Linked DNA regions of Saccharomyces cerevisiae S288C. Each later gene encodes a partner of the first gene's protein in a complex. Links are inferred from orthologs where the notes say so. Each region holds a gene or a part of one and is shown on either strand. Other genes may lie near its edges.

What was found. The genes of interacting proteins can lie anywhere in the genome.
Region 2: the proteins of MAS1 (region 1) and QCR2 are in contact, whole or in part, in a cryo-EM structure (PDB 8AB7), measured with the Yarrowia lipolytica proteins. The link is inferred for Saccharomyces cerevisiae S288C from one-to-one orthologs. Residues at the interface, in XP_500073.3 of Yarrowia lipolytica: Val26, Ser27, Pro28, Leu48, Val49, Gln50, Thr51, His74, Glu77, His78, Phe81, Lys82, Gln89, His90, Leu92, Glu93, Leu94, Ile96, Glu97, Asn98, Met99, Gly100, Gly101, His102, Leu103, Asn104, Ala105, Lys117, Ser118, Phe119; in XP_505169.2 of Yarrowia lipolytica: Gln35, Asp36, Gly37, Gln38, Ser39, Pro40, Ile41, Ala77, Leu78, Val81, Arg82, Glu85, Leu86, Phe87, Gly88, Lys90, Leu91, Gln105, Leu107, Glu134, Arg135, Val139, Leu142, Ser275, Met276, Pro277, Trp278, Ser279, Val280, Gly281.

The regions. Positions count from the first base shown.
Region 1 is NC_001144.5:491,107-495,173, reverse strand, and holds MAS1 (mitochondrial processing peptidase), read left to right. Parts: upstream 1-1,919; coding exon 1,920-3,308; downstream 3,309-4,067. Other genes in the region: pseudouridine synthase PUS5, read left to right, coding at 1-680; protein SHH4, read right to left, coding at 785-1,291. UniProt on the Saccharomyces cerevisiae protein: Catalytic subunit of the essential mitochondrial processing protease (MPP), which cleaves the mitochondrial sequence off newly imported precursors proteins. Preferentially, cleaves after an arginine at position P2.
Region 2 is NC_001148.4:917,380-921,086, forward strand, and holds QCR2 (ubiquinol--cytochrome-c reductase subunit 2), read left to right. Parts: upstream 1-2,001; coding exon 2,002-3,108; downstream 3,109-3,707. Other genes in the region: RPC82 (DNA-directed RNA polymerase III subunit C82), read right to left, coding at 1-1,662. UniProt on the Saccharomyces cerevisiae protein: Component of the ubiquinol-cytochrome c oxidoreductase, a multisubunit transmembrane complex that is part of the mitochondrial electron transport chain which drives oxidative phosphorylation.

The DNA.
Region 1 (4,067 bases):
CACCAGACTGCAGAACATGGGGCAGGACACATCCTAATCTTGACCCTACTCCACTACTAGAAAGATTCAAGGCTATTTATTATTCACATAGAGAAGTAGAATTATGTCGTACTGTACATAGGTTAGACCATTGTGTTACGGGGGGGATGCTGATTGCAAAGACTAAAGACGGAAGTGTAAAATTCTCTAGATTTTTACAAAAGGGCGGCAACAACGGTTATAAGTTGCAAAGAAAGTATGTAGCTATTGTCGAGTCGTCCGGTCGTTTCAACAAACCAAATAACTATGAAATTAAATATGGTCCTAAATATAATTTCTTGATTTCACATGGTGGTAGGGAGATTACTAAGTTCAAAGAAGTTGACGAAAATTGTATTGTTTTACAATTGGTTACAGGAAAAAAACATCAGATTCGAAATCACGTCTCTCAAATTTTAAATCAGCCCATATTAAACGACAAGAGACATGGCAGCACTGTCAATTTTCCAGAGTTGTTCAATGACCAAATAGCGTTGCATTCAGCGTGCATAATAACGAAAATTGGCCTGCAAACTAAAACGCACTTGATACCTATGGAACACAATAATACTGGCCAACTTTGGTCAAGAAAATACGTCAATGAAGAGGGTGAGTTCACTTTGCCCATAAAAGAAGTCCTGTTGGAAAACTGGGACCAGTAAAATAAGCAATAAATAATCGGTTATTAAATTATTTCTAATACACATATATAACGAGAATAAAAAAGGTAGTCACCACTAACCAAACCATATTGATTAATTGATGATTACTGCCTCTTTTTTTCCACAGGTTTGTTATCCCATAATGATTTTAAAGAGGCAATAAGACCAGCTTCTTGACTCTCTAATTTATATATACCGACGAACGATAAAAAGGAGCCCAAGCTCAATAAATACATCGCGTAATGATGTACCTTTCCATAGACTCTTTCAGAAATATAGTCTATAATGCAAGACTGAAATCCGATATGACAATGACCTAGCAGGACCAAGGAAAGAAATGTGTCGGTAAAAGTGGAAATAGGGCCTGTAGTGACCAAGGGAACTGCGATCAGCGGAAGAACCGCTAAGGACAGTCCGCGCTCGACAATCCAATGGTACGAACCCTGAGCTCTGCTTTCGGGCGGCATATAAGAGGAATCATTTGCGGTCCCACTCACACCTCCAGGTTTCTGTGGAATCTTTGGCAGAAAAGGAATGGTAAAGGATCTGGCAATTGAAGTATGAAAAGCCCTTATTCTGCAGAGTGGTTTCAAAAACTTAGTCGATGACATTCCTACTTTCCTAAGAATTGGGGCAACCTTTTTGAGAATCGTTGCTGATTCATTAGAACTGATAAACGGTCTGTCCACTGGGGACTGAAAATATATAGGTTTGCTTCTATGAAATTCGACGTCAAAATTAAGGGATACCTATGGCCAGCGCCCTTCAACTGACGATTTTTAGTTATCATACGCGTCCCTTATTATCTTAAACCGTAATAAAAAATCGTTACTTCGGATAAGGGTACTCCAATCTGGATGTGAGAGTCTGATAGTACCATGTTAGAGCCGCGTTGAAGGTGCGAATCAGGGTTTTATTCTCCTTAAACTTGATCCCGTCCAAAGGAGTTAAGAAGTAAAATGCACGGCTTTACTAAGACTATATTTACGTATTAAATTCCTCAACACGTAGTGAGGAAAGCTAAAATGCTGAGCTTAATTTCTCAGCCAACAATGGGTGATACTACTGTTCAGTGCACAGATTAGATGACCAATATTATTTTCACGTATTTAGTGATATTCGTAATCGAGCTGGACTCATCTCTTTAGTAATAAGAAGTGAATTTGAACGCTATGGATAAATCATGATATCTTGCTCTCAGGCATCAAACTAGTGCGCAAAGTGATAGGTGATCATACAATGTTTTCAAGAACAGCATCCAAGTTCCGTAATACACGGAGGCTTTTAAGTACAATTTCCTCACAAATTCCAGGAACCAGAACCTCTAAACTTCCTAATGGGTTGACAATTGCCACAGAGTACATCCCCAACACATCTTCGGCTACTGTTGGAATATTTGTCGATGCTGGTTCTAGGGCAGAAAACGTAAAAAACAATGGTACAGCGCATTTTCTAGAACACTTGGCTTTCAAGGGTACTCAGAATAGGTCACAACAAGGAATTGAATTGGAAATTGAAAATATCGGATCTCATTTGAATGCATATACATCAAGAGAAAACACAGTTTATTATGCTAAGTCCCTACAAGAAGATATCCCAAAGGCTGTTGATATTCTAAGTGATATTTTGACTAAGTCAGTTTTAGATAATAGTGCTATTGAGAGAGAAAGGGATGTCATCATCAGAGAAAGTGAAGAGGTGGACAAGATGTATGATGAAGTTGTTTTTGACCATCTTCATGAGATTACGTATAAGGACCAACCTTTAGGAAGAACCATTCTGGGTCCTATAAAAAACATAAAATCAATAACAAGAACTGATTTGAAAGACTATATAACCAAGAACTATAAAGGCGACAGAATGGTATTGGCAGGTGCGGGCGCTGTTGATCATGAAAAATTGGTACAGTATGCTCAAAAATACTTTGGCCATGTGCCCAAATCTGAATCGCCTGTCCCGTTGGGATCACCAAGGGGCCCATTACCAGTTTTTTGTAGAGGTGAAAGGTTTATCAAAGAAAACACGTTACCTACAACACATATTGCTATCGCATTAGAAGGCGTGTCATGGTCTGCACCTGATTATTTTGTAGCTCTGGCAACACAAGCGATTGTTGGTAACTGGGACAGAGCCATTGGCACAGGTACAAACTCCCCCTCTCCATTAGCTGTTGCAGCAAGTCAAAATGGTTCTTTGGCTAATTCTTATATGTCATTTTCCACCTCTTACGCTGATTCAGGTCTGTGGGGAATGTACATAGTAACTGATTCTAATGAGCATAACGTGCAGTTAATTGTTAATGAGATCCTGAAAGAGTGGAAGAGAATAAAATCTGGCAAAATATCGGATGCAGAGGTGAATAGGGCAAAAGCTCAGCTAAAGGCAGCTCTGTTGCTATCGTTGGATGGATCGACAGCCATTGTAGAAGATATAGGCAGACAAGTGGTGACCACAGGTAAAAGATTATCACCAGAAGAAGTTTTCGAGCAGGTTGATAAAATCACTAAGGATGATATTATTATGTGGGCAAATTACAGATTACAAAACAAACCAGTTTCAATGGTTGCCCTAGGAAATACATCCACTGTCCCTAATGTATCCTATATCGAAGAAAAACTGAACCAATGACCACGCCGATTTATTAGTAAGTTCATTTCACATCTCTGCTAATTTCTAATTTCTCTTCATACTTGTATAAAGTTCTATGTCAATAAATTCTTGTTCAAATGAGATGTTGCTACATAAAAAATATGAATAGATATCGGCGGCTCTAGTACCCATTCCCCAAAACACGATGTCGGTATATTAACAGCACGTGTATTTTCTTTTTTGAAGGATACATTAATACTTTCTTCCTAAAACTGCACTTATAGTGGGGTGTGAAAGGGCCCTTCCCGTATTCAATATTAAAGCAGCCCTTCAGATTGCAAAAAATGCACAATAAATTTGTTAATATAAGCCACAAGCCAAAAAAAAAAAAGTGATGCAATTGTATATACTTAACATAAAGATTTTAAGTTATCCGTTACCATTGCATACAGAATTATCCAGATAATACTGTTTACTATGCTCATCGATCGTTTCATATTGGTCATTGCCTTGAAAAAAAAGCACGTGAAAAAAATACTGTGAGACCTTTTCTTGCAATATCTCGATCAGATAGCATCTGTAGCTTTCCATTTAGCTGAACACATCACACTGATCTGATAAACACCATTATATCTTCGGTATTATTTACTGAATTTTCCCTTATAGCAGCAAGGGAAAGCAATAATAAACGTGCTACTAAAAGTTTTTTTAGTCATCGCTCAATGGAGGTCAGCACAATACTGTGTGATTGGTCATAATAATTGCATTGTAGAATATCTGCCAATGAATATGTACCTA
Region 2 (3,707 bases), on another chromosome or scaffold:
TGTTCTTGGAACTTCCTGGATTTCCACAGAATTGTATCTAATTAAAGATGCTAATGTAGATCTTATATCCTTTTCCTTCATTAACGCAGTTGAGTTGATAATTTTCTCAGACACCAGCTTGTTATCACGAATACAACGGCTTAAACGCATTGCTGAGGGTCCCAACGTAGACGCGATAACATACTCATAAACAGATGACTTTAATACTGGCATTAGTTTGCTATATGGAACATAGTAAACACCTGGTTTGGTTTCGTTCAAAAAGGGGAAATTTGATGATGCTAGGATTTTTAAATGACTATTTATCAAAGAAGCTGAGTGAGGATCCTCAGTGTCTGCATCCAAATCCTCCTCCTCTTCGTCTTCTTCTTGTGTATCTCCACTTTCTTGAAGAGATTTGGAAACAGCAGCAGGTAGCGCCGGGATCACAAATCCATCTTCGGTTTTTAATTTTTTACTGGGTAATGATGCAGCAGCGTTTGAGCCAGAACGCTTTTTATTGTCAGAGGGCTTTCTAGATAATAAGCTTCCACGCAAGTCCAATTCTGCGGGGAGATGTCTTGCCAAGTCAATAGCATTAAAGGTAAGCCCTGGTGTCTTCTCCTCAACAAGTTCGGCTTCGTCTTGAAACGATTTTGCTTCCTCCAAATCTTGTAAAAGCCCAGTTTGAGTTAGTGGATCTCTAATTTTAGGAGACTTTTGCTCTGTGAGTCTTAATGCAATTTTGTAAACTTGAGCTGTGACGGAGCCGACTCTTGTCTTGGCCAAGTTAATCAATTGTTTAGATCTTCTACCTTTCATAAATCTATCCAAATTAATCGTCAGAGAGACTGTAGGTTTAACAATCCTCAATGAGGTCTTTGGATCAACCGTTAAGATTTGTGAAAGCTCATTTGGTTTATTTATGATTTTGGCAAAATCAGTTTTCGCATTCATCTTGGCTTGGGATCTTTTCTTCAAATCGGACAACGGGGAGTTTCTGGGAATATTTTTGTAATGTTTTTCATATAAAAATTGCCAGAGATCTTCGATTGGGGTATAATGCAATTTTGATATTTGAATAAGATATCCCATTTCACACAGTTGCACGAATAGTGATGAAATGGTGTACTTCATGGAATCTGACGTGACACTACTTAGATAATCTTCCACTGTTAAGGACCCTAATGATATAACGTTTTGTACAATTTCAGCCACCAGCTGTTTATGCTCCTCTTCGTCGTTTACACGCATTTGCGTAATAATTTCGTCAATAATCAACCCTGAGTAGAGTAAAATGTGTATCCCTTCCTCGTTATAGTAATAATAAGTCGTTTTTTTCCCGGATATTGCTGTTTCTTGCAGGTACTTAACACACCTTAATTGAGTTAATGAGACTAGTGTCGTCTTGACGCTGTCTACATCCATACCATCTATTTTCTCCACTAACTCGCGCACACTCAATCTGCCCAGCGCAACCAACATCCCAATTACAGAAGCTGCTCTTTCACCCAGATGTGCCTTCACCAACTCTTTGTAAAGAAACAAATCGGGATTCAAGGTTCTCTGTTCCAAGGATGATATGGTCATAACATCTTCGGGGGTGACCAACTTCTCAGATTCGACAGTGCTCTCACCTGTTTGGTTCTCTGCACTAAGCGCTTCTCCCAGTAACTCGTCCATTTGGATCTTGCTCAACAAAAATTTTTCCCTATTCCTGTGTCAGCAATTCTCTATTGTTCTCAATATTTCTTCCACTATTATTATTTTGATCCAAAATTATTTTTTTCCTTCAATGCGATGAGCTTTTGAAAAATTTCTGATCATTCCCAACGAACCAATAGAAGGCCCGCCCCGTCTTATATCCGTTAGCCTACCAAATATATATATAAAGAACAAGGGCCTTTCCTCAGAGCGTTTGCTGACGAAGTTTTAGAAGTTAATAAGGTTTTTAACAGCAGTGTGCTCGAACGATTAGGACGGGAGAGTTAAAATTATTAAAAGGAAAAAAGAAGAACGTTGATGTTGTCAGCAGCTAGATTGCAATTTGCCCAGGGGTCAGTTAGAAGGTTGACCGTTTCCGCTAGAGACGCACCTACTAAAATATCTACATTGGCTGTTAAGGTCCATGGAGGGTCTCGTTATGCAACCAAGGATGGTGTGGCCCATCTTTTAAACAGATTCAACTTTCAAAACACGAACACTAGATCAGCTTTGAAATTAGTCAGAGAATCCGAATTATTAGGGGGAACTTTTAAGTCTACCTTGGATAGGGAATACATCACTTTGAAAGCTACCTTTTTGAAGGACGACCTTCCCTACTACGTCAATGCCCTAGCAGACGTGCTATACAAGACTGCCTTCAAACCTCACGAGCTCACCGAATCTGTTTTGCCTGCTGCTAGATACGATTATGCGGTCGCTGAACAATGTCCGGTAAAGAGCGCCGAAGACCAATTGTATGCCATTACATTCAGAAAGGGTTTAGGAAACCCATTGTTATACGATGGTGTGGAAAGAGTCAGTTTGCAAGATATCAAGGACTTTGCGGACAAAGTCTATACCAAGGAGAACCTTGAAGTTAGCGGTGAAAATGTTGTTGAGGCCGATTTGAAAAGATTTGTTGACGAGTCACTGTTAAGCACTTTGCCTGCAGGTAAGTCATTGGTGAGTAAATCCGAACCAAAATTCTTTTTGGGTGAAGAAAACAGGGTAAGGTTTATCGGTGACTCCGTTGCCGCCATTGGTATCCCGGTAAACAAAGCCTCCCTAGCTCAATATGAAGTATTGGCCAACTATTTGACCTCTGCCCTATCCGAGCTTTCCGGTTTAATCAGCTCGGCTAAACTTGATAAATTCACTGACGGCGGCCTATTTACTCTGTTTGTAAGAGACCAGGACAGCGCCGTGGTATCTTCCAACATCAAGAAAATTGTTGCGGATTTGAAGAAGGGCAAGGACTTATCCCCTGCAATAAATTACACAAAGTTAAAGAATGCCGTCCAAAATGAATCTGTTTCCAGCCCAATTGAACTAAATTTTGACGCCGTGAAGGACTTTAAGTTGGGAAAATTCAACTATGTAGCCGTCGGTGATGTTTCCAACTTGCCATATTTGGACGAATTGTAAGAGGAAAGTATTTGTACAAAACGAAAAACTAAAGGCAAATATATATATAGATGTTGCCGCGCACCTTTTTTTTAATGAATATTCACACAAATATTGAAAATAAAAACAAACAAAATTCAAATAACAACATGTAAGACCAAAAAAAAATCCCTCATTATTTATTCCTTACCCTTTCCAAATTCTTACTATACTAGTAAATATATATTTAATTATCCTTTTTTCTACTTCAGCATACAATCCTTCTTTTGCCGCAGGTTTATAGTTAGACCCCTCAATTCTGTCAAGTTTCAGTGGTACGTTATTTTATGTCTCATCTCACGATCCTGGCAAAAAAAGAAAGGCATGTAATTTGAGGAGGCGATTCACCCTCATTTTTACGCAACAACAATGCTGTGTGGCTTACACGCCTCTGCGTACATATCTACATATTTAACGGTCCTGTATTTTCAAGCACGCAAGGCTGAAATAAACGGTTGTTTGCTTATGCGCGATGCACTCCGCCGAACATCACCGCAAAAGCACCGTAGGCGGAGATCTCCCAGCTAGTATGGGCATGACGGAACCACGATTTCCAGATATAGATACTTAAAAGCACTAAA